Saccharomyces cerevisiae S288C: one gene and its partners. The protein of the gene in region 4 binds, or shares a complex with, the protein of the main gene of each other region. Each region holds a gene or a part of one and is shown on either strand. Other genes may lie near its edges. The genes, in order: RAD2, RAD4, TFB4 and TFB1. A codon is read from its position in the direction of its gene.

Region 1 (6,691 bases), on a different chromosome or scaffold from region 4:
CTCGTCTTACCGACATCAAAAGGGTGTGTGCATATAGCAGCTATCATCCCACTTATGCAACCACTGGCAAAACTGTTTATAAAATGGACCCAGTTTGCGTCCTTAGATGCAAATCGAGTAGAATCTAGCCATAGTCTTTCCTTGCAAAGTTCATAGGAACTCCAATATATTGCACTAAACGGAACGTCTCTCCACAGAGTGATCTCCAAACCTTTGAAGAGGGCCCGAGAAGGACCCACCATTTTCATTTCCTGCCTCGTTTCGTTTAATAAATCTTTAACCATCATCCATGTCTTTGTGGACTTTGATGATCTCGGTATACTTTGCAGTTTAGTTTTAACCAATTCTAAAGGTGCAATACTTGTTGCTGCAAATACCCTCGCAATTGCACCACAAAAGAGGGGGTTTAATGTTGGGTACGTCGAGGCTATAGGAGAAACGTCTCTTATATATTCATAACCACTAAAATAAACCATGTTGGCAGGAATAGCCATTAATAGGGTCAAAGAAATACCCCTCCACAAACTTGTAATACCTTCGACGCTGGCAATTTTCGTGAATGCTTCTAAAGTACCGTTGAACTTCAACGATGAATTTTTACAGTGCAGTTCTTGAAAACAAGCACTCTCCCAAAATATTTTTGCGTTGTTCAAGTTCTGTCCTCCGACGTTGGTGAATGTCTTCATTTTGGAGCCTGAGCTAACGGCGTTGGGCACTTCGGCAGCCCCATCACATGAACAGTCAGGAATCATCTGCTGCTGTTGCAGCCGTATTCTCACTACATCCATCGGTGTCAAAATCAAAGAAGTGAGTACTGATCCAGCACCGGCACTTAACATTCGTTCTTTTAAGGTCAGGCTGTTACTTGTATTGCGATCACTCATATCGTATTATCAACACCTCGTTTCCTTTCCTACGATACTTTATGGCTTTGGCTCATACGATTCCTGTGAAGTGAACTGGCACAAATATGAGGGTAGTGTGCCCCAATTCCAGAGGAGTGATCTTCCCGGAAATATGCAAAAATGACAGAATGTGTCTTATTCTCTAATTGCTATTCTGAGATCTTCAAGATGGCGAAAAATAACGTTGCGCGTGTTTGGGTGGGTGCCAAAAGTGTCATACCTCACCGACGCAAAGATACCAAAAGGACCGTATATATCTACTATTCCTGGATCGGTTGACTTTGTTAACATGCAGAAACAAAGGTAATGTTTATAAATAGTAAATCATACATAAGTATATGTTATTACATCTTTCTTTTCTTTAGTTTACCTGTTGCGGTTGAAATTCTCTTACTTGTATTGAGCTTCTTATCACCAGATATGTACTCCCTTGGAAAAAATTCATTAATCCTTTTTTGCTTCCCCTTCTTTTTGCGTTTATTAACATCTCTAATTAAGGGAATGAGAATTTCATCAGACTTTTCGTGTGGCCAACCTAGTTGAGTCTTCATGAATGAACGAAGCATATCGAGATCTGGTACCCCCCAAACAAACGGCGTGGTATCGTGATCGACTTCTGGTCTCATATACGCATCATAAACCATGACGCTAGGAAAATCATCATCTAAGATAATTTCGTTATTTACCAGTTTTTTTCTCAGGTCTTTTTCAAATTTATTTTCCGTTTCTTGCTTACGTTTATCAAACTGCCCATTATTATACCAGTCTTTAAAATTTTTTAGGTTTCCAAATTCTGCAATCACTTCAATGCTTGAAACGGGACCCATACCCTTCAATCCATTCGTGTAATCGCTCCCTAAAAGCTGTGCCAACTCAATCATATTCTTTCTATCCAAGCCCAATAATTTTAAAATAGATTCCGCATCATAAAATTCAACATAGTTCTTTTCGTGGAACATATTTTTGTAGATCTTTGTACCTCCAAATAGGAAAACATCACTGTCATCGGTAATTATACCATCGACAAGGTTTAGTTGTAACAATTCCGCACACTGTGCTTCAGCTTCCATAGGCGCAGTGATATAGGGGATTCCAAACCTCGATAGTAATTCTTGCACTTCTTTGATCATATCCATAGTTACCTCATCCGAATCTCTTTTATCCTTCATCTGTTGTTCGAATAATTCATCCTCCACAAAAGCGTTCTCGGCAACGTTTCTTTCAGCAGAAGTGGACAAAGTCGTGTTTTTAAATGTATCAAACTCTTCTTGTTCCTTTATCATATTTTCTACTATGTTATCTTCTTCATCTTCGGAGAAGTCATAGTCGAATATAAGAGGCTTTCTATGCTCCTTATTTATAGATTCGACTTTTCTACTATCGTTATCCTCTGCTTCTTTTGAAATCTGAGATTTAGTGGGAACGTCCTCAAATAGTTCTTCTGATAAAACTTCTAAGTCATCGTCCTTGTTTTCATCATTGGAGCTCTCTTTCTCGCTTTCTCTTTCTAATATTTCCGTAGCATTTAAGCCTGTCAAGAGTTCATAGCTACTCCCTTTATTGGTAGTTTCTGCTCCACTTTCTTGTTCATTTCTTACGTTTTTATCTTCCACGAAATTTGTTGTGTTATAGGGATTATACAACTGCTGGGAAGCAGTTGAAGAAAACCAGCTCGGCATTTCAGGAATTGGAGACTTTTCCTTCGTGGCTTCTTGGGACACATTACTCTCGGTATTCTTTTGAAAAAGCAGGGAATTTTCATTGTTAAAATCAAACTGTGGTATCTTGTGAGAAATAAAATTCAGGTTTTGCTCCCCCTCTGTTAAAATAGCCCCTTTATCCTCCTGCTGAGACGGTGGCCTAAACTCAGAAAGAACTGTCTTGCTGGTCCTTTTGATGACCGACTCTGATTTGCTATTCAAATTTGTGACATGATACGGTTGCTTACTATCCGGTTGTGCGCCAAGTAATCCATACTGTACTATTGGTGGACGAGCCTCTGTACCTTTTGACGTTACCGGCTTAGCGATTTTTGATTTGTCGTCCGCTTCAGGTTTCTTTTCCATCTTAGAAAGTTGCACTGCCTCCATCATTTCAATTTCCTCAATTTGTTTCAGGTAATCCTCATCGTCGTCTTCCACGCTGATTCTGCTAATTCTCATTGTTGGAGTAGTCTTGGAGGGCGATGCCTGATCATGTCTTTTGTCCAAAAACGATTTACTGCCAGCGTTGTTTAGGGATTGGCCCATGTAAGGCAACCTTGCAGCTTTCAAAGAAAAATCTTCCACAAACTTGACGTTCTTGGGCTTGAGTTCAACTTCTTCCCACTCACATTCATCAGAGTCACATCCCTCATCTTCTGACCGGTTACTCCTTTTCTGTGGAGCTGTCGTCGCGTTAGAAGACTCATGTCGCACTATTTTTAAGGAATTATCTTCCAAATCATCCCATCGGAGCACGTCCCCGTCCTCAGCATTACTATCTAACTGCTTTACCAAAGCGCCTGCATCTTTATCGTCTATTACGATTGCTTTTTGCGCATCAGAGCCATCGTTTGCCCCTAGTCCAAGAATCCACCCGTTATTAGTCTTAGTCAACTTGTACTCTTTACTCTTTTGGCCGGATATCCTATTGATCACCTCCTCGTTCAGCTTAGACGCTCCACCATCCTGAAACCCAGTAGTGTTGATTAACTTTTGAGTAAAAAAATTCCTCCTTTTCACCATGTCTATTTGAAATCTTGAGAAATCCATACTATTTGGGAAGATGGTCTCCAATTGTTCTTTCGAGTATCCCATCCTCAGTCTTGATTTCAACCTCAACGACGATAATATCAAATACTGTGTGGCCTTTGGCAGCTCTTCAAATTCGGCCGATGCTGGATTTATAGTGTCTAAATCAATGTCTTCCAGTCCATCACCGTTTATCGAATTCATCAGTTTTTCAAAAGTTTTATTAGAGTTAACTCTTGCATCTTCCTTATCGTATTTGAATCCCGGTATATCGGGCAAGTCCCACTCGTCCTGAGGTTTGAAGATCTGCACACTACTGCCACTACTCGGTGTAGAGTTTTTTACGTTATCGTTTGAGCCGTTTTGCAATTGTAAAGCCAGCAGCTTCCTAGCGGTGGATTTCGCACTCTCTCGTTTTCCCTGTCTTCTTTCTTTCCTCTGCCGTATTGTTTCCCTTTTCAATACGGGCACACCACCATCAAAGACGAATACCGGCCTAATGCCAAAGTATAATAGCTTACAAATTCTTCTAAAGAACCCAGTAATATGAGAATTCTTCACTGCATTCCCCTCCTGATCACGGACAGCTTTCAAAAACTGATATATCCAAATGGAGGCATCTACTGCCATTCTCTTATCTTCCAAGGATTCCAGCCTGACCGGTCTTGCCGTAGGACCTGCAATATCCCAAAATGAATGCACACCCATGTCTGAAGTTTGGCGTTCTCCCGAAAATGCTTTTCTTCATGGATGACGTGTAGAACCTTCAATGATTTACGTACAGTTTTTCAATCCCTTTAAGGTCTCTATATGTGGCGGCATCTTTTCTTTTTCTTTTCTTTTTTTTTTTTTCACTCTCCCTTTTAATGCCTCCACGGAGGTTCGAATGGGTTATACTAGAAAGAAAAAAAAATAGTGATAATTAACAATGAAAAAAAAAAAACAGCAACAAAATGTGGTATTGGGGTCACACCACTCATTGACTCACATCCTCTGGAAACATCAAAAAGCTACCAAAAAAGAAAAAAAAAAAAATTCAAGTGCGAAGTTTCCGCATATGCAAACCTTACTTATTGTATAATATTGGTAACAGCAGCTACTAAGCTCCCTGACTCTGATTTCTCTCTCTGTCTCTTTTGAGGAGTACCTTCTGCGCTACTGTGTTCCAATGGTATCTGCGCCTTGAAAATCAATCACAAACGCTCTTGCTATGGCCTGCCTTGGACACGATACGTCGCTGCTTATGCCGCCAGGTGTCAGTAAATGCTCTGACGCACCCATTCACCCCGCGCACTAATTTGCAAAATTTGGGGGCAGTTTGGGAATACTCCATAGAAAAAATCGACTTCAAATCAATTCCGCACAACGTCGCCGTGTTGGCTAAAGTGAACGGAAAATGGACGACATGGTAAAAGAACAGATATGTACATATACAGAAGCCGCGATTTCACATGCCGGCCATTATGGCACACAACCAGGTCTTGTACTGTCACTATGTGCGTTCCGGAACGCCTGTACAGTCCATGGTGAACCATTTATTTATTTATTATTATTATTTTGTACATTATTATTTATGCTATATGTTATTATTATTATCACTATTTAATATTATTATTCGGGTCCAGGTGAAATAACAAAGTCTGGCGCCAGTCACTTGTCTGGGTGCCCGTATTCTCTGTTACAGCGGTATCCCTCTGGATTCTGCAATCGTCGCCGGCTTCTACTAATTTTTCCTTTCCTTTTTGTTTTTTTTTTTTTTTAGTTTTTTATTTTCTAGTTTCCTGCTCGTATTCTGTTGGTTTTTCCAGTGTCTCTCTCCTTTTACAAGTCACCCATTCTCTGCGAAGAAGCGGTCGCACCAACAAAATAGAAAATACCACCGGACGCCGGATCGCTTATTACTCGCAATCATAGTTACCAATCACAGCCGGGCATACTCGGGATCTACCGTAGAATCCTATGCGTCACACATGAGGACAGGTTACGAACCGTCGAAGGCTTCGCGGCGTGTGTGATTAGTATTGTTTTGACCTCATCCATACACCCTGAAATATCTGTCGCATCTCCGATTACGTTAAAAATTCTGGATAATATATAAACCATGAGTTTTCCTTTCTTTGAAGTATGTTCCTACTCGAGATCCTTTTGTTATTTTATTGCCATTTTTTTTTTGTTTCATATGTACTTCTTATCTACTATTTATATTTCTCTATATTAACTAACTCTCCAAGCTATAAGCATACGTCCATATTTACTGTCTTAGAAGTCGTATTCACATCACAGTTTTCCCCCTCTTCGCCTTTTTCAAACTATTTTCCCCCGTGAGACAGCGACTGAAAAAAAAACGACTGCGCAGAAGGCTTATATAAAAAAAAAAAGAAATATTTCTTCACTTTCGAGCATTGAACTATTGTCATTACCTCTAGATGAGCAACAAATTTACAATGGAGTCACCTAAGCATTTGGTGGATGATGTGCTTTTCATATCACCCACCAATGATGGATCAGAAGAAAAGCCTACGGAAGTCACGTTCCAGGAAGATGAAGGCCATGACGCTAGCTTGCATAATCGCAGCCATGACAAGAAGTCGGAACTTGCCACCGAACGGGAAATTATGGCTACTACCACGGATGATGACGGCATCCCCTCCCCTTCCCATCCAATGGAAAAGCGTGTCTTGCGCAAAATGGATATATACTTGATTCCTCTTATGGGGATGCTATATTTCCTTTCTAACCTGGATAAATCGAATATTGGTAACGCAGAAGTTGCAGGTCTATCCAAGGATATCCACCTTGTAGGAACGCAATATAACACATGTGTCACAGTTTTTTTCGCGACGTATGTTCTTTTCGACCCCATAGGTACTAACCTTCTGAAAATTATGGGTCCGCCATTAATGATGAGTATCTGTTTGACCTGTTTCGGTGCTATTTCGCTCGGAACTGCTTGGGTTAAGAATTATGCTCAATTGATCGTTGTCAGACTACTACTGGGTGCCTTTGAAGGTATGATTTATCCCGCTATTAACATGTACCTTTCAGTCTGCTATA
Region 2 (6,236 bases), on a different chromosome or scaffold from region 4:
TAACCAAGCTTCCTCACGTTTATCCTCTAACCTTGCCATTTTTCTTGCCATTTCCTCCTCTTCCAAGATTTCCATCTCATTTGCTTCCATATCATCATCCTCAAGCTCATCGTAATCGTATTCTGACCGCTTCTTGCCTCTATTGAACATAGCCCAAATTTCGTCACGATCATATCCGGGACCATTGCTGTGTTTCGATTTGCTGTGGTAACCTTCATCTTCATCGTCTTCTATAAAATCATCCATATCGTTATCTTCTTCATCATAGTCATCCTGGTATCTTGATTTCTGTTTTCTAGATTCTAACTTTTCTTTTAATCTCCTATTAGGTTGAGCAAATCCATTTGTGGGCAAGTTGAGCTTGACGGGCTTGGGTGAGTCTGATGATTTTATGCTATTGCCTCCAGAAGATACTCCACGCAATGTTGCGCCAGGGGATGCTTTCTTTTGTGGTCTTTTTGAACTTTTGAAACCTGGCTTGTTAAAATGTGGGCGTTCCTTAGTTACGGGTTCCGATGACTTAACTTTTGGGGGCTGTTTCTCATTATTTTCCGCTTGTTTCATTAGCTCTTCAAATGACATCTTTTTGATAGGTTCAGGTTTCTTCCTTACAACTGGCTTGAGTGGCGCATGACTTGCTCCAATAGACCTCTTAAACCTAATTCCAAGGCCACCTTCATCATCGTCATTCCTTTCTATTTTCTTTTTCTCAGATCCAGATGAGGTGCCACGTTTCCGTTTTACACCACTTTTTTTAGCCAAAGCACCATTCTTTAACAGTTCCTGCCGCCTCAGCTCCTTCAATCTTTTTACTGCAGGATCTTCGTCTCTTATGTAATTTTTGGGTAACAAGGAATACTCTTCGTCATTCTTCTTGGGTAATGGATCTTGCACTTGGGCTTTTGATGCAGTCGTTGATTTTCGTATTTGGGAAAGTTTGGAAAGAAAACTCATAACTAAAATATTTCACTTTGAATAGGACTCAAGTCCCTGTCCCTCTCATCAACTTTTATTTTCAAATTACACTAGTTATTTTATTGTATTCATATATTAATCTGTGGCACTTGTCCATGTGGGAATATCTTAGTCGAACAAGAAAAATAATCATGTTAAACGAAAAAGTTTGAAGCCAACTAAGTTCTCATTCATTACAAAGTATATACAAAATTCCTGAACATAGAATTTCTTTATTAAAAACATACTTTCCTAATTATTCAAACCGTTTCAGCCTCATTTCAGTCTGATTCCTCTGACATCTCTAGTTCTTTCATAAAATCCGAATAATCCTCCCCGACATCGTCGTCTGTAGCACTTTCCTCCGCTTTGTCAACAGAAACATAATCTAAACTATCTTCTGGCTCTGAAGGTTCACTATACGGCCTTGCTTCGTGGTTTGCTATACCTGGTAGGAACCCACCTCCCATAAAAGTCTCCGTATTATCGTGATTGTCCGCAATATTCTGTTCCTTCGTAACGTTAGGTTCTTCCTCGGCAATTTTACCATATGTGGAGTTCAGCTTGCTACGAATACGCAGTTTTAGCAGTAAAGTATTCCAACTCTCCAAAGCACCAAGCAAATGTTCCTTCCTATTATCATCCTCTTGAATAAACTCTATTCCATCAATAGCGGTTTCAATAGCTTCTCTGAGCCACTTTGCAACAACAATGCCACTTAAAACTGGCTTAACTGTACTGCCGCGTTCAAACTTAAAAGAAGTTACAGCAGGTGCAAATTCCACCCCCAAAAACCTAGCAGCTTTAATTGCCACAGGATTCTCAACCAAACAACAGTTACCAGGTATCATCGTTGGTGCAAAAACTTCGATGTTTCCAAATGTATTCTTGGTTATTTCACCGCTCGCACTGGCTAATGGAGGGATGTATAATTCTGTGTCTTCAAAGCTATATAATCTTTCATCTTCTTCTTCTGCTTCGCCCTTAGGCCTTCCAACTGTCCTCTTTATCACCTTTTTACACCTGCTACCAGTTTTTAAAATTCGGCCGTTCATGTACCATTGTCTAGCACTTTTCAAATCCGCAATATCTCTTTTTGCATAAACTTTCAAAACCTTCCCAACTTTTCCATGTACTTTTAAATATCCACACTCTTTACATCCTGGCTTTACAATTTGAGTCTGTTTGATATCTTGTTCTAAAACATAATATGGGTGGTTTTTCAAATCCTGCACCGAATCTGGTATGCCTTCACTTTCATCTCTCTGAAAAAAATATTGATCTTCGTAATCATCAATTTTGGTTCTCTTTCTATGGTGAAGTGCTGTTATCACTTTTCTGAACCATTTCTCACCAAAGTCATCTTTAGTAATTCTTCTTTTTCTTACTTTAGAGTTCATCCATTGGGCATATCTTCGAGTTACATCTCTACAGCCATACTTCCGATCGTAAGCAATCACGTACCTCAACATATTTCTTTCGCAGCACGCCACGCCTTTCGGTGCCAACTTGGAATGAAGTCTGACCTGTTCAATGGTTTTGAGATTTACTGGGTCAACAGTTATCCATTTCTTAGAGAATTTGTCCCACACTTCACACCAAAAAATCGGATACTTGACCATATCTTTGTACGCATTGTTTCCATTCAAAGAAGTGTCAATCTTCATATTGGTAAAATCTGGCGGTTGACATGACATGATAAGTCGTGCGTTAACATTACAAGCCCTGAGCATCGCAACGAAACCTTGCACTGAAATATCAGGATCTCCGTGACCTTTACTGACGGCCCTTAAAAAGTCAGATCTTTTCAACGTCTTGAATTTTCTTTTGTTATTGGCGCTCATTTCAATTTCTTTCCAGGTTCTCATATAAAGTCCCACATTATCATATTTTTTAGTGATCTTCCAGTGTTTTTGCCATAACTCCATGCATTTCTTCAACCCATCTAATAATTTCCTAGTACTCCTAAGTGGGAGTTCCTCATCTTTCTGAGGATGCAGTAGCTCAAACACTTTCTCAGGAACTAAGTTGCTCAGTTTTCTAGACAAGCGCTTGCTGTTAATCCATTCATTTCGTATAAATCCATGAACCATCAAGCAAACTAGATACAACATGTGGAAATATTTTCTCCTTTTCCGTTCTTCATTAGAACAAACGTTGCGGCTTGTCCTTCTAGCATCACTATTCCTTTTACTAGAGGGCTTAATTTCAACAGATATATCTTCTACACCGGCCACCTCATTTCCATCTGTCACGTCTTCAAATTCCTCCGAATCATAATCTTCTTCAGATGACTGGATTTCCTCTACACTATCATCCGTCGGTACCGTAACGACGCCATCATCTGAAGAATCTAAGTTTACAGTAACAACGCTTTCTCGTGGCAATTCATTCAACCCTGTTTTAAACTTCTTCTTGGCATCTGGTAGGGGCTGGTTCTTCCTTCTGACTCTTCTTCTTCTACTCAGGGGCGCTTTTTCTGCCTCTTTCTCGTTAAGAGCCTTCCTTATTAGTTCAAAATATTCCTTGGGCAGGTCTTCATTCATTTTAGCGGAAAAATAGTGTCGTTATGTCTCTGCTTGTCGTCCTGTTTGAACTGCATAAAATTTGCATATATTGTGCATGCATTAAAGGTACTTAACCGCATTTTTCCATTTTCCGCCGCACTATATAGATGGTAGAAAAGCAAGAGGAGAACCTTACATAGTTAATCAAGATATGTATACATATTTCATTCACCTGTATTTATTTACAGTCTCCAATAGAGCAGTCAGATAATGATCGGTAATACGCCCTCGCTCTTTCATGATGGGCATTTGCGCTAGCGCTTGCTCCAGTTTTGCAAGGTATTCATAGTTAGATCCACTAGGTCCATGCGACACGGCAATTACTTTCGCAGTTTCATCCACGGTCTCTGGTCCGACGAAGGCCTCATTATCTATTGTACCAATGTACACCGAAGTAAGTAGTACCCGTTTACCCGATTTGTTGTGCCGAGGCAACTGTTCTAATGCTTCACCCAATTCTGCCTCGTGCTCCCGATTAGTTTCTAGATGCACCTCAACCTCATGTAGAGTGTACCCGTTTTGTTCTCTTACGTTCAAATACTCTCTAACCTCTTGAGCATGTTCTGGTGGTATATAATACACTACCCCTATGGTGACTAAGTCGTCGGGATCCTGGATAGGTGCACTTTCACTATACAAATTCACATTCTTCAAGAAGGCAGTTTGCCTTATAATATCCTCATACGGGATTAGTGTGGCCACTCTTCCTGGGTTTGCAGGTGTACCCCTATGATCAGTGGAACTTTGCCAGAACCGACGAGCAAAACCGTGAATTATTGCCGGTATTCTATGCGTGTAATGAGACGGAGGCTTGTAAATCAGAGATCCGTAGCCTAGGACCCAGATACCACTGTTGTCATTAGTCATTTGGCCATACAACTTTTTATAAGCCCAAACCAACGTCGTGATTGCTTCTTCCAAGGTTAAATCACCTCGAGACTAAACTCATAGCTAATATTGACCTTACCTTTTAGCGTTACCCAGAATACCAATTATCCCGCTCCTTGGCGAATCCAAAAAAAAAAAAAAGGAAAAATTACTGGAGTGGCAAATTTTCTCATTCTCTTCATATAAACCACTAGGGAGGACGTCGAAGAAAAGTCTGCTAGGTGTTGGTGACAACTTCCAAGCTTCCCTTAACACAAGGGAACTATTGATAACCGCTGGTTGACATACGCCTTTAAAAGAGGTCATACGTTGCGACACTCTCTCCCTCCCCTCTCACTGATGTTTTCTGTCTTCAATTTCTGGCAATAATCTTAAGACGAAGCAGTCAAGTCCTAAGGAAGAAAACGATTTTTGATTGTTTTAAGTTGCCACTACGTAGTGGTCAATATGGAAGCCTCTGCGCAATGGAGAAACACGGGTGGCATAGGTCAGCGAACCATACAAGCGAGAACACTCTCATTACTTTATGGATCATCTCAGTATTTCACCGTTCGAGGAAAATCTTCTTTCGCAGGCCGAAGTCACCGTGATATATTTGATACTTTTGAGATATCCTTGAAAGGTAAGCTTCTATGTTGTACGTTTATTTTTTTTAACTTTCTTTGTTTTAGCTTTTACTTCGATGATATGTTACTGCCCCATATACGGTAAAAGATCATACGTTGCCAAAATCAAAAGACATGATTGCCTGTATGTTTTCCTCAGCCCATCAATGCGTAATACGGTCAGCTAAACGCTGCTCACAAGCCAAGGGCTTGCGTGTTGCTCGCGCATCGGTTGGATATCACTGGTAGGCCACTTCTTCAATATTTTGAAAATGAAACACGCTAAAGTTGAAAACTTAATTATCAACCGTCCAGAAGGTGTAGGCAATTTCATCTAAGAGAATAAATTTAACATCCCACGATCCTTATCACATCCCATCCCTACACTAGGACATATGTTCCCAAACATTACAAAGTTCTTTCCTGATATCATTACTGATATAAGATTATGTCAATTATTGATACCATTAAAGACATGTAATATGCAACACTTGTCGAACAGATCATAGTTCAGTAGTCGATTATCATACTGTTACCCTCTCGTTATATAATTTTACTTTTTTTCCTTTCCTTCTTTTCAATTTCGAAACTGTACCACGAGAAACATTGTGTAGAAGAATCTTGTCCTCATTATATCTGGTTAGTACTATCGTATTCTTGTCCGGACATCTAAGTCAAGTTGATAAAAGTTTGGGGTTATCAAGTCAAGATAAGCAAGCTTGCAGAAGTCACCTTCTCTTTTCCGTTACTTCTTTTGTGAATATACACATACTTGTTTCTTCCAAAGGAGAAAATTGAATAAGCCTAAACATCGACCATCATTTTCTTTAATTCGTACTTGAGTTCCACTAGCTTACCTATTCACTAACGACAAAGTTTCTCAAAGGTTTTTATTTTTCATTTGCTTCAAGACTTTTCCGTTATTTCTTTAAACCTATACCCAATTCAAAGCAGAACCTTTTCTAATTTAATTCTCACTTATAATGGCAGCCAAGGATATTTCTACTGAAGTGCTGCAAAATCCTGAACTATATGGGCTGAGGCGGTCACATAGAGCTGCTGCGCATCAACAAAACTACTTCAACGATAGCGATGATGAGGACGATGAAGATAATATTAAACAGTCGAGGAGGAAGAGAATGACCACGATTGAAGACGACGAAGACGAATTTGAAGATGAAGAAGGCGAAGAAGATTCTGGAGAGGACGAAGATGAGGAAGA
Region 3 (4,746 bases), on a different chromosome or scaffold from region 4:
GTGGCAATGACAAAGTCGATGACATATCAGCATTGCGATGATGAAAAAATCTCTTCATAGCTTCATTAACACCAAATTGTAATGAAACACATGCACCAACACCAATTAATGGCGTCAGAGTTCCTTTGTAAAACCCGCGAGGCCCTTCATTGGCAAGCAGCTTTCTGACGACTTCCATGGCTGTTGTTGGGGTGCTCGATGTTTGTAACCTAACTTTTGTCGTATCAAAGGGCTGGCCCACTAGCACTTGCGCAATACCACCCGCTGTACCTGCAAGCAAATCTTTCACGACTCGAGCATTATCATGCTGTGGATGTTCTTCCAAATCATCGATTAGTTGAGGAGATGGAAATTCTTCAGACATACTTCTTCGTGATGCGAATTTGATTGACGAGAAACCTAAACAAGAGAGCTGCGTTGGAGTATAGATGATAGTTGTTATTAGCTTATTGACATTGATTGATGCTATAGCATGGCTACATCATCGCTGACAATTTGCGCTCGAGTTTTCTTAGGGCGCCGCTTATCTTCGGCCTATCAGTAAATGTAAGAATGAGTCAATCAAAGTAATAACACTTTTTACTTCCTGTAAAAAACTACATAAGAAATTTATTTACATTATTCTATCAAGTCTTTTTGACCATAGTTCACTGCTATAACAGACACTGTCAGCTCAGTTATCGTCATATTCTCCACCGCGGCTGGTATCTCAACATTCAATTCCGCCATCTCCTTCGGGAGTGTTATTTTATTCTCATGTGCTTCAACTGGCTTCTTTTGAATCAGTTCAAGGCATTTCTTTCCAAGATCTCTCAAGATGCTTGTATATTCTGCCGTGACTCTTTCGGGTGTATGTACCAGTATGTAGAATAGCCAATCTTGCAGCCGACGATAATGCCTTCCTTTCTTGTGTATTTCTTTTATCCATGTATTCGACATATACTTGATCAGAACCCAAAGTTGCTTAGAGGTAATCTTTTCATGAAAAGTAGTATGCTGCGGTTCATTGTTTATAAGGTATTGGAACCACTGGTTGTATCCAACTAGTTCATGTTTATCTCCTTCAGTGATTACTTTTTTTACATCCTCAACACTGTCAATCTTGGTTTTTTCCAGCCGTACCAAAATATTCTTCGCCCATTCCTCATCAATCTGAAGATTTTCTTCCTTCTCTTCTGCCTTCTCAGGAAAGGAATGCTGATTTAGGACACTTATAATTTTTTCAACTGTAGTACATTTGCTGGGCATATCTTCGAGATAATTCTTTAAGAAAAGCAATAAAAGATCCAGTGTTTCGTCCTCATAACCGGTAAACTCGTAGGCATTAGTCAACACCGTCGCCTTCACAGAGTTAAACCACCTTACCCATATTTCTACATTCCTTTGAAGCCTAATCAAGGATGGCGAGATGGCGTGCCTTTTAAGGGCCCCCTCATCCTCATCATCGTACATGCTTGATTTGTGACGCGTCCTCTTTTGCAGATTCATATGATTCTTAATCGATATGGCGTTGGTTCTTAGTGCTTCTTGCCTAACACTTTTAAGATATTCAATGACATCAGGATTCACTGAAGAATCAGATAGTGCAAATGCACGAGATTGACCAAAGATGGCATCAGGCGCCTGGCTTTCTCCTCTTTTCATTGTTTATCACCTAATGTTTCTGTTATGATGGATGTTGGCAATGTTATTGTATGATACATTATCCAAAGCGAACTAATAAATCTACCGAAGCAACAACAGCGATGCACCCAGACAGTACATAGATAGTTATATTATCAAATTCGATATGATTGAAGTCAAAACAGTTCAAAGATGACACAACGTCTTAAGCTAATCACATCAAAAGCTTTTTTTTTTCTGTGGAATGTCCAATATACATGTGCTTAAAGCTAATTTTTTTTTATGTATTATTACGATGCATTGTGACGAAGGTTACCTGCTTGAAACGGATAATGTTCATTCCTTTCGTTCATGGTTTCGTCACCTTCTTTTTGGCTTTCAACCTTGGAACAACTGGTTTCCTCTTCAACTTGGCAATTACGTGCTCATCAAATTGAGAATCACAAGCAGGACATTTATTTCCGGGCGGTATGATTGATAAGACACATAGGCAAACTGAACAGATGAATCCAACGGCAACAACTCTCCCTGTTAAATAGCATGATGTCCTAAAATCTACAGATCCATGGTTTGGCTTAACAATTATAGGTCTTAACGACGGATCAATAAACATTGCAGTTGCTAAATATTGAATTAGCCCTTCTGTAGATTCAACATGTAAATAAACGCCATTTGTGGCATCCGTCGTTTGCTGTAAAAACGTGCTTTCCTTAGAACCACCAATCTTTACGACATCAATGGGACATTTCATTTTTGTTGCGGAAAAAATACAGTTCATTATAGGGATGTATTGGAAAATTTCATCTTTACTACTGCCACTCCCGCACGTAAGAACAAGTAGCCTTGATTTTAATGAGGTAGTTACTGACTCTTTTGATATTCTGTTTACATAAGTCAGCCCAGCTGACATGGCACCTGCTAGCGTGCTCCTTTGACTATTTTGTTCGATTTGTTTCTTTTCTAACTCAAATAGTTTATATATTTCTTCCACTAGCGTCTCATCAACGTTTCTAAAACGTCTATACATATCTGAGTTAATAATCTTAAGATCACTACGGGTTTTATTTTCAGATTCAGAGGCTTTTAGAGCAGATGTGCTCTCTGGGTATAAATATTTGATTCCCTGAGAGTATGCAGCAATGACTGCTACTTTGTTGGCGCTATTGAACGCTAAGTGAGCATTGAGAAATACTATCAATGCCTCTAAAACCTTTATTATACTTCCTTTCTCATTTCCTTCCTCATCAAAAGTTGTCCATAACTTTGGTGCAATTTCTATAATAACGGTAAGCAAAGATGGTGATTCTTCAGTAACCTGTTTTCTTGATCTAGCATGCTTAAACGTTGGATCAGATATTGCATCCATTTCTGATTGCTTCGCTTCAGTATATTTTATTGGATCGTGTATATTTCTACTCAAGTGTTGATTGATGTTGTAATGTTCCTTCAGGTATCTTTGAATTTCAACAGAACAAGACGAGCTGCGCGCTGAAAATAAAATAAAAGTGCAAGTGAAAAATATTGTAAAAATAAGGTAATTAAAAATATAGTTATTCGCTTATTATTGATCATTTTCATTCATTTATTTATCAAATTAATTTTACACAAACTAAAAATGTCATTTTTCGTTTGCAGTATGGACAGCATTCAATTTGCTTTTAAGTTTTCCAATCTTGGTGCGGGCTCCTTCTTTCGACTGCTCTTTTTCGAGGTTACTTAGTTTCTCCAAAGCTTCAGTGTACCTCTTATTGGAAGGTTTTATGGAACCCTTAGTTGAGCTAGTGCTTTGTCTCTTCAATTGACGATGCATTTCCTCGCTAAACTGCAGCCTCAATATGGTTTTCAAATCTTCGACAGAACAATGCGGTAATTCATTGTCTTTTATATATTCAAATAGTTCAGCTTCACTGGAGCCGCATAAAGAGTAAAAATTCATTGTGACGTTCATATTAATTTTTGATGGTTCAGAAGAAAGATTTCTATAGGCATGTTGTAAGACATTTACATTTCTCAACATTTTCTTTATCCCGTTATGGTTCAAAACTTTTATGGATTTGGCACCCTTAATCAAGGCGTAGTTGTTGACTATATCAAGACCAATAAATATGGAGTTTTTTTCCTTTTCTGGTAACTGTTGTTTCAATTTGCTTTCAGTCCTTCTTAATTCGGAAATTAGAGAAGCTATATTTTGATCTAATTCAATACTACCCACATCCATATTCCAAATTTTGGTGTTTTGAAAAAAAGACCCGATGTCGTATATACACAAGGCCCTAATGTTGAACCTCAGTATAGTGATTAGTTTGAATTTCAAGGTTTTGAATCCGTCGATAGTCTCATCAAATTTTTTGGAGGCTTTATCATCCAATAAAATTTTTAGATTTCCTAATGAATTTGGGCTGGAACTAGGGTTCGAATAGTTTAAATCCATTGATTCAGAAAATGTCCAGCTGCTCCTTAATCTATCAGCATCTAACATGGGTTCTTGGCTTACTTCATCAATATTGATAGCCTTTTTTAAGCCTGGCAGCCAGTTTAATATCCATAACACGCTTGCCGAAAACTGCAGAATTGTGTCCAATGTCAAGTTATTGAATAAATCAGATTTGCTCAAACCTTTACCCGCTTGATAGAAATGAGGTATTTCCTTAAATAACTCTATGGATTCTTCATGAAAGAGTGTCTCATCCCCATTCAGAATTTTTTGTTCTTGATCCATCAAAATACCATTCTGCAACCATGCCGTAATTATTTTCCTAGTTAAATGTCTATCAGAAGTACCAATCAAGGAATTAAATAGCCCCAAGTAGTAATTATAAAAATGATTCAAAAGATCTAGAATGCAGTACGATATTTTTTCTCTAAATGTGTTTGCTGTGTTGAAAACATTCAATAAATTGTAAAATAACCTTTGAAAATCTAATGCTGTTTTAAAAATGTTATGATTTTCATCGGATAGCTCTAAGGCGTACGGATTATTGGATTCTACTTCAACCGTGAATAAATAATCCATAGTCATCTGAATCTTTGGGAGAAAACTTTTATTCATATAATCATCGAAAAAGGTTAGGGATGAAATAGTATTTTGTGTTAAGACACTGGGAACAATTGTAGATGTCGATT
Region 4 (5,499 bases):
GGAAAATATTCTGGAACATGGAAACAATAACCTTCTCCACGTTTACATCCTGATCGTCTTCATCAGATCTTTTCGATGTGGAAAACCCATTTAACACTAGCAATGGAGGATTTAATACATCATCATTATTTAACGATTTAGGTCTCTTCAAAAATTTTTTGATATCTCTACCCAGTGAATAGTCCAATACTTGAAAAGTAACAGTAGGACCTTGTGGAGTTCTAGCTATCTTTAGCGAGACATTTCCTGTTTTTTCAGATTGAGTGAACATGAAAAGATGCGTAACACCTAATGGGCCACACATAACAACAAAATCCTTCAGTTTATTGGACTTGCGCTCTTTTAGTTTTACGGCCGTATGCGGTTGCATGATCTGGCGAAAATCCTTTACTAATTGGTTTAGAGAATGGTTAGCCAATGAAGTTTGTCCCACTCTGATTACCATGGATTTAGGAATATCTCGTTCCTGCTCGGGTGTGATCTGCGCATGCGTTCTCTTTTTCTGCCTTCTTTTAGCCATTAGTTCCAAAATATCTAAGGTATGTGCGGGATGGTGACCTAGCAGCTGCAATTTAGTCGAATATTAGCTAGACTAGTTTATTTTGCCTATTTAATATCATTCATACAAGCCCGTCGATGAGATGCATCTACACTAAAAAATTGCAAAATCGTCCAAGATGATAGATAATGACTGAACTAACAGTCTGGAGTATTGCAAGTGCTTAGGTCTGTTTGGCAAAATTTTTGAAAATATTACTGAACCATTAGCAAGCTGTAATAGAACTAAAGCACCATTACTGATTTATTTTGACGAATCGTTTGCTAATTTTCAGCCACATCACATGCTGAAATATTTCCCGTTTGTTTCTTGTTTGTTTCACAAGCCATTCGCGCGCGTTTTCACGTTAAATGTTTTATTTACACGCACGGCTGCATCAGTGCAGCACAGCGTTAATCGAGTCCCGCGTTTTTCTATTGTTTACATAGAGACTAAAGACCAAAAAGGAAGAATACACACAATTAAGTTTTATGTAATATGTAACATGCAGTAAATAGATGAAAAATATGAATGTAAAAAGTGGTAACAACTGGAGAGCCTTTATATTTCTAGTTCGAATTGTTGTTATATTCGTTGAAGTACTCATCGTACTTATGAGTAGCCAAAGTAATGGAGTTCAAAACTGGCTTCAAATAGGCGGTACATGTGTTTGACATAGATTCACCATCACCATTAAGGACGTCTTGAAATAGCTCATTCAGCTTTTCAATACAGTCCTTCAAATGATTATAAAGTTTTTTGACGGTACTGGCTTGCTTTTGTTCACCGCTCTGAAAATGAATATAAAAGTGCTTTAGAAATTCACAGCACGTTGTGTGTAGCATTCTACAACTTTCTAATAGGTCTATTGGTAGGGTACTTTTCACCTCTAATTCATTTGCTTGAGAAGTGTTGTCGACAAAAGAGCCGAGTGCTGAATTAACATTGTTATGCTTAGCCTGTTTGGCGTTAATCTTGATTGCAGTTATGACTCTTTTATTGATCTTGTTGCTGACTTCGTTGTTAGGAACTACTTGGTTCAAGTCTAGCTTATTAATTAAATTATCCATGACCAATGACAACTGTTGTAACATTTGTTGATTAGAAACCTTCAAATCTGCATTCTTTATCGAGTCTGCCGAGCTTTTCGCATCGTTGTCGGTTGTCTTTTCATGTGCGTTCCTTTTCAGATGTATGATTGCATAGTTTGTCTTGTAGCTTTCGTTTAAGTCATCGATTTTCAGTTCATTTCTTTCATCATTATCTTCATCTTCCTCATCGTTTGTAATATTAGATTTGTTCTGTAGATTTGTCCTTGAATACTCATTCTTCAAAGCCATAATCATTTTTTCACTCAATCTATTCATACCCTTTAAGATGTCCACGGTACCATCGCTATTACCATTAATATCCACACCTGGCTGCATAGTGAAGTCGGGCCTGTTGCCTCGTACAACTGGGTCGTCCTGTATGTTACCATCTAAATCTATAATTTTTTTCACAGGATGCAATAGCATGTCATCATCTTTTCTGTCGAACTCTTGATCCAATGTCAAGTACCTGTCAATGATTACGTCACCTCTATCATTTTGCATGATCTTTTCACCCCTTAATTTTCTGAATAACTTCGAAGAGAAGAACCTTGCCCAGAACTCTGGTTCTTTGAAATTTTTGGGCACATTATCAGTGTAAGCTTTCTTTACAATTGGATAGTTCTCAAAAATATTCAAAATTTTTTCTCTTGACAAATTAACATTGACTTTGTTTTCCGATGAAGCCACCGGCTTGATAGTTGACAAAACGTTGTAAGGCCCAACTTTTTGAGAAGTAGATAAGGCAAAAGCCCTCAATAACGGAATTCTAGTTGACCAAAATTCAGATGGAGGCAAACCGGCGTTAATGACTGTTTCCTGAAAAACCTTCATTAGAACTTTGTTTCCTTTCAGTAAAGATTGCTGTAGCTTTAAATTGGTCAACAATTTTTCTTTAGAGAGAGAATCATCTAGTTTGGCTGTATTAATCAACGGAGCCCCATTATTCAATTGTGGTGTATCGAGATGTGGTGTGGGAGTCCCTGCAGTAACAGAAGAAGAGCTCATTGGTGTTTCTGTGTGTTGCGCAGACTCCTCTCTTCTTCTCTTTTCTTCGTAGATATCTGCATCTTTATACCGTGAGATGATTTGTTGAAGGGTCATCTTGATATTATCCATAACTGTTCTATTGTTAAACGAAAACATATGACGTTGCGGTTTGGGCACAACCTCATTTCCTTCGTTGTCTTTTCTCTTTTTTGACTCATCCACTTTCCCGATTAGCCTCAACATCATTTTTTCACTGGAAGCAGGGGTAGCTTGTAACTTGTCAATAGTGGATAAGACAACTGTGTGAACCTTGTCACCGTCCGTAGACCTCCATGTCAATTCTGCGGGTGAAACATCCTCATTTATGGCAATTATCCCAGAAACTTTCTCAAAAATGGCAGCTCCGGAATGTGACATTATGGTTTACTTTTATTTTTTCCCTACCCCTACCCTAGGTTAAATATTATTACTTTCACTGGGAAAGCTTATTATGCTAAATTTCAGTATTGTCTAAAAATTGCGTCAAAAACGAGCAGCCTTATCATGTCCCACGGGTTGTGGCTTTTCTAGTTTACTGTCGAATCATACTATCATTTTTAAAGATTGGTTTCCATTTTCGTTAGACCGATATCCATTACTTACACTCCTTTCATATCTTTCCCACGTGGCCTTAACTACGTTTACTAATACTTACTATGTAAGTCACAATTTCCATTAATTTGCGTCGTTCAACAAGATAAATTGCTGTAATTATATGACTGCGACGCGACGGCGACGTCAAATTTTTTTTTTTTTTCCTGAATGGAAAAGGGAAAGGACAACAAATGATGGCAAAATATTTCAGTTTGGATTCACAAGTTCTCCACTTGCATCCGCTATAGATAGCCACACTTGTTTCATTCAGCGCTTGTGATACCACGATTGTATCATTACTAGTGGCTTTAATTTTTTTTTTTTTTTCATCTATCCTTTTAATACCATTTGTGTTTGAAATAAACTGCTAAAAGAATTATACACAGGCATATTTTATCAAAAGTGTCAGCAAACAGAGCACAAGGGACTTGTTTAAAGTAGCTAAGTATCATAAAAATTTAGTCGCTAGTGGTATTATTGAGATCAAACGAAAAGTTTCATACATAATTAACAAAATTCGTTTGTTGCGGGGATGTCTGAGAACACCACAGCCCCTTCTGATAACATAACCAATGAACAGAGACTTCCGTCTGGACCCAAAGATGACGTAGATACGTTAGCACTTACCAGTGCTCAAAATCAAGCTAATAGTTTGAGGAAGCTAGATACAGATGCGAACGCTAAAGCTTTGCCATCCATCACAGACATACCAGTCAGTGATGATTCTGATATAAAACGACAAGTTGGCTCTGGTTTTGGTTCAAATCCGCTTCATATAAAAGATTCCGAGGCCTTTCCACATTCATCTATTGAAGCCCTAAAAGAGGGTATGGACAAAGTCACAAAACAATGCAACGATTTGAAGACGGCTTTGCTTTCCAAAGACACTTCCCTCACTGATTCTGTGCAGGATTTGTTTAACTCATTAAAAGTTTTATCACACAACCAATCAGTTTTGGAAAATAAGCTGGATGATGTCATGAAGAATCAAGTAAATACTGACATATTGGTCAATAATTTGAATGAACGATTGAACAAATTATCGACAATGTTGCAAAATACTTCGAAAGTAAATCACTCTAACCTTCTCATAGAAAATTCATCCAACAATACCAGTTCACAGCATAATACCTCTTCTTCTCGAAGGGGACCTGGCAGGCCAAGAAAAGATGCCTCGACCTCCACAATGAATAAGTTAGTGTCAAACGCAGCCTCGGTCAATCTCAAAAGTGCATCCAATCAGGGTGCTCCTTTCTCACCAGTAAATATTACTTTACCGACTGCCGTAGTACAAACGTCTAAATCCAAAAGGTATTTTGTGGAACCATCAACGAAACAAGAGTCGCTTTTATTATCTGCCCCTTCATCATCAAGAGATGATGCTGATATGTCCTTGACTTCCGTACCGCAAAGAACGAACAATGAAAATGGTAAAGAGCGACCATCCACTGCTAATTCTAGCTCCATCACACCAACACCTGTTACGCCGAACAACTTAATTCAAATCAAAAGAAAAAGAGGCAGGCCCCCAAAAAAGAGAACAGTGGAAACAATGATATCCAATTCCACGGATACGATAGATAAGTCAGATGCATCTAATCGGATTAAAAACGAGATTCCAATAAATTCCTTGCTTCCATCTTCCAAATTTCATCAAATACCATCATCTCCATCCAATCCTGTGTCACAACCGGCTCCGGTTCGGACTTCAAGGTCAGCCACACAAGAAATAGACATTAAAAGTTTAGAACTGGCCTCTCTAATTTCAACTAATGGTGATCCAAACGCAGAGGATTCGAATACTACTGATACTGTTCATAATAACGTGGAAGGAAAGGTAAATGTTGAAGAAAATAAAACCGAGAAGGAGAAAATAATAACCATCAAATCATCCAGCGAAAATAGTGGTAATAATACGACCAATAATAATAATACTGACAACGTCATTAAATTTTCAGCTAATTCAGATATCAATAGTGATATTCGCCGATTAATGGTTAACGATCAGTTTTCATTAAGTTATGACGCCAGCGGTAATATTACGGTCAAATTACCACCCGTTTCCTCTCCAGCAGCAGCAACAGCTGCCGCTGCTGCGGCGGTTACGTCAGAGATGAATAGACAACAAAGAGAATTAGATAAAAGACGTGATTCAAGGGAGAAAATGCTTGTTAATATGAAATATAACGATCGCGATAAAGCAAAGTCATTTATGGAGTCTAATAAGAAACTCTTAAAAGCAATGAA

The links.
Region 1: the proteins of TFB1 (region 4) and RAD2 are in contact, whole or in part, in an NMR structure (PDB 2LOX), measured with the Saccharomyces cerevisiae proteins. Residues at the interface, in NP_010597.3 of Saccharomyces cerevisiae: Leu48 (codon at 2,895), Gln49 (codon at 2,892), Ala50 (codon at 2,889), Thr51 (codon at 2,886), Pro52 (codon at 2,883), Ser55 (codon at 2,874), Lys57 (codon at 2,868), Met59 (codon at 2,862), Arg61 (codon at 2,856), Met88 (codon at 2,775), Ser90 (codon at 2,769), Lys101 (codon at 2,736), Gln105 (codon at 2,724), Ile108 (codon at 2,715), Ser109 (codon at 2,712), Lys112 (codon at 2,703), Asp113 (codon at 2,700), Asp115 (codon at 2,694); in NP_011774.1 of Saccharomyces cerevisiae: Leu665 (codon at 2,353), Ser666 (codon at 2,350), Glu667 (codon at 2,347), Leu669 (codon at 2,341), Phe670 (codon at 2,338), Glu671 (codon at 2,335), Asp672 (codon at 2,332), Val673 (codon at 2,329), Pro674 (codon at 2,326), Thr675 (codon at 2,323), Lys676 (codon at 2,320), Ser677 (codon at 2,317), Ile679 (codon at 2,311).
Region 2: the proteins of TFB1 (region 4) and RAD4 are in contact, whole or in part, in an NMR structure (PDB 2M14), measured with the Saccharomyces cerevisiae proteins. Residues at the interface, in NP_010597.3 of Saccharomyces cerevisiae: Asp46 (codon at 2,901), Lys47 (codon at 2,898), Leu48 (codon at 2,895), Gln49 (codon at 2,892), Ala50 (codon at 2,889), Thr51 (codon at 2,886), Pro52 (codon at 2,883), Ser55 (codon at 2,874), Lys57 (codon at 2,868), Met59 (codon at 2,862), Leu60 (codon at 2,859), Arg61 (codon at 2,856), Met88 (codon at 2,775), Gln105 (codon at 2,724), Ile108 (codon at 2,715), Lys112 (codon at 2,703); in NP_011089.4 of Saccharomyces cerevisiae: Asp91 (codon at 3,230), Glu93 (codon at 3,224), Glu94 (codon at 3,221), Phe95 (codon at 3,218), Glu96 (codon at 3,215), Val98 (codon at 3,209), Thr99 (codon at 3,206), Asp100 (codon at 3,203), Gly101 (codon at 3,200), Asn102 (codon at 3,197).
Region 3: the proteins of TFB1 (region 4) and TFB4 are in contact, whole or in part, in a cryo-EM structure (PDB 7K01), measured with the Saccharomyces cerevisiae proteins. Residues at the interface, in NP_010597.3 of Saccharomyces cerevisiae: Gln467 (codon at 1,638), Gln471 (codon at 1,626), Met477 (codon at 1,608), Asp478 (codon at 1,605), Asn482 (codon at 1,593), Leu486 (codon at 1,581), Asn487 (codon at 1,578), Gln488 (codon at 1,575), Pro491 (codon at 1,566), Asn492 (codon at 1,563), Asn493 (codon at 1,560), Val503 (codon at 1,530), Ile504 (codon at 1,527), Ala506 (codon at 1,521), Ile507 (codon at 1,518), Asn510 (codon at 1,509), Ala511 (codon at 1,506), Gln513 (codon at 1,500), Ala514 (codon at 1,497), Lys515 (codon at 1,494); in NP_015381.1 of Saccharomyces cerevisiae: Ser49 (codon at 2,845), Ile51 (codon at 2,839), Glu55 (codon at 2,827), Val59 (codon at 2,815), Tyr130 (codon at 2,602), Glu136 (codon at 2,584), Glu141 (codon at 2,569), Glu242 (codon at 2,266), Gly243 (codon at 2,263), Ile245 (codon at 2,257), Gln246 (codon at 2,254), Tyr247 (codon at 2,251), Ile262 (codon at 2,206), Val263 (codon at 2,203), Lys264 (codon at 2,200), Pro265 (codon at 2,197), Asn266 (codon at 2,194).

The regions. Positions count from the first base shown.
Region 1 is NC_001139.9:1,006,422-1,013,112, forward strand, and holds RAD2 (ssDNA endodeoxyribonuclease RAD2), read right to left. Parts: upstream 4,346-6,691; coding exon 1,250-4,345; downstream 1-1,249. Other genes in the region: MTM1 (Mtm1p), read right to left, coding at 1-884; TNA1 (Tna1p), read left to right, coding at 6,064-6,691. UniProt on the Saccharomyces cerevisiae protein: Single-stranded DNA endonuclease involved in excision repair of DNA damaged with UV light, bulky adducts, or cross-linking agents. Essential for the incision step of excision-repair.
Region 2 is NC_001137.3:499,395-505,630, forward strand, and holds RAD4 (Rad4p), read right to left. Parts: upstream 3,501-6,236; coding exon 1,236-3,500; downstream 1-1,235. Other genes in the region: SPT2 (Spt2p), read right to left, coding at 1-954; GCG1 (gamma-glutamylcyclotransferase), read right to left, coding at 3,690-4,388; chromatin-remodeling ATPase CHD1, read left to right, coding at 5,998-6,236. UniProt on the Saccharomyces cerevisiae protein: Involved in nucleotide excision repair of DNA damaged with UV light, bulky adducts, or cross-linking agents.
Region 3 is NC_001148.4:669,369-674,114, reverse strand, and holds TFB4 (TFIIH/NER complex subunit TFB4), read right to left. Parts: upstream 2,990-4,746; coding exon 1,973-2,989; downstream 1-1,972. Other genes in the region: YMC1 (organic acid transporter), read right to left, coding at 1-364; BRR1 (Brr1p), read right to left, coding at 619-1,644; exocyst subunit SEC8, read right to left, coding at 3,242-4,746. UniProt on the Saccharomyces cerevisiae protein: Component of the general transcription and DNA repair factor IIH (TFIIH) core complex, which is involved in general and transcription-coupled nucleotide excision repair (NER) of damaged DNA and, when complexed to TFIIK, in RNA transcription by RNA polymerase II.
Region 4 is NC_001136.10:1,082,602-1,088,100, reverse strand, and holds TFB1 (TFIIH/NER complex subunit TFB1), read right to left. Parts: upstream 3,037-5,499; coding exon 1,108-3,036; downstream 1-1,107. Other genes in the region: SSF2 (rRNA-binding ribosome biosynthesis protein), read right to left, coding at 1-520; SUM1 (Sum1p), read left to right, coding at 3,785-5,499. UniProt on the Saccharomyces cerevisiae protein: Component of the general transcription and DNA repair factor IIH (TFIIH) core complex, which is involved in general and transcription-coupled nucleotide excision repair (NER) of damaged DNA and, when complexed to TFIIK, in RNA transcription by RNA polymerase II.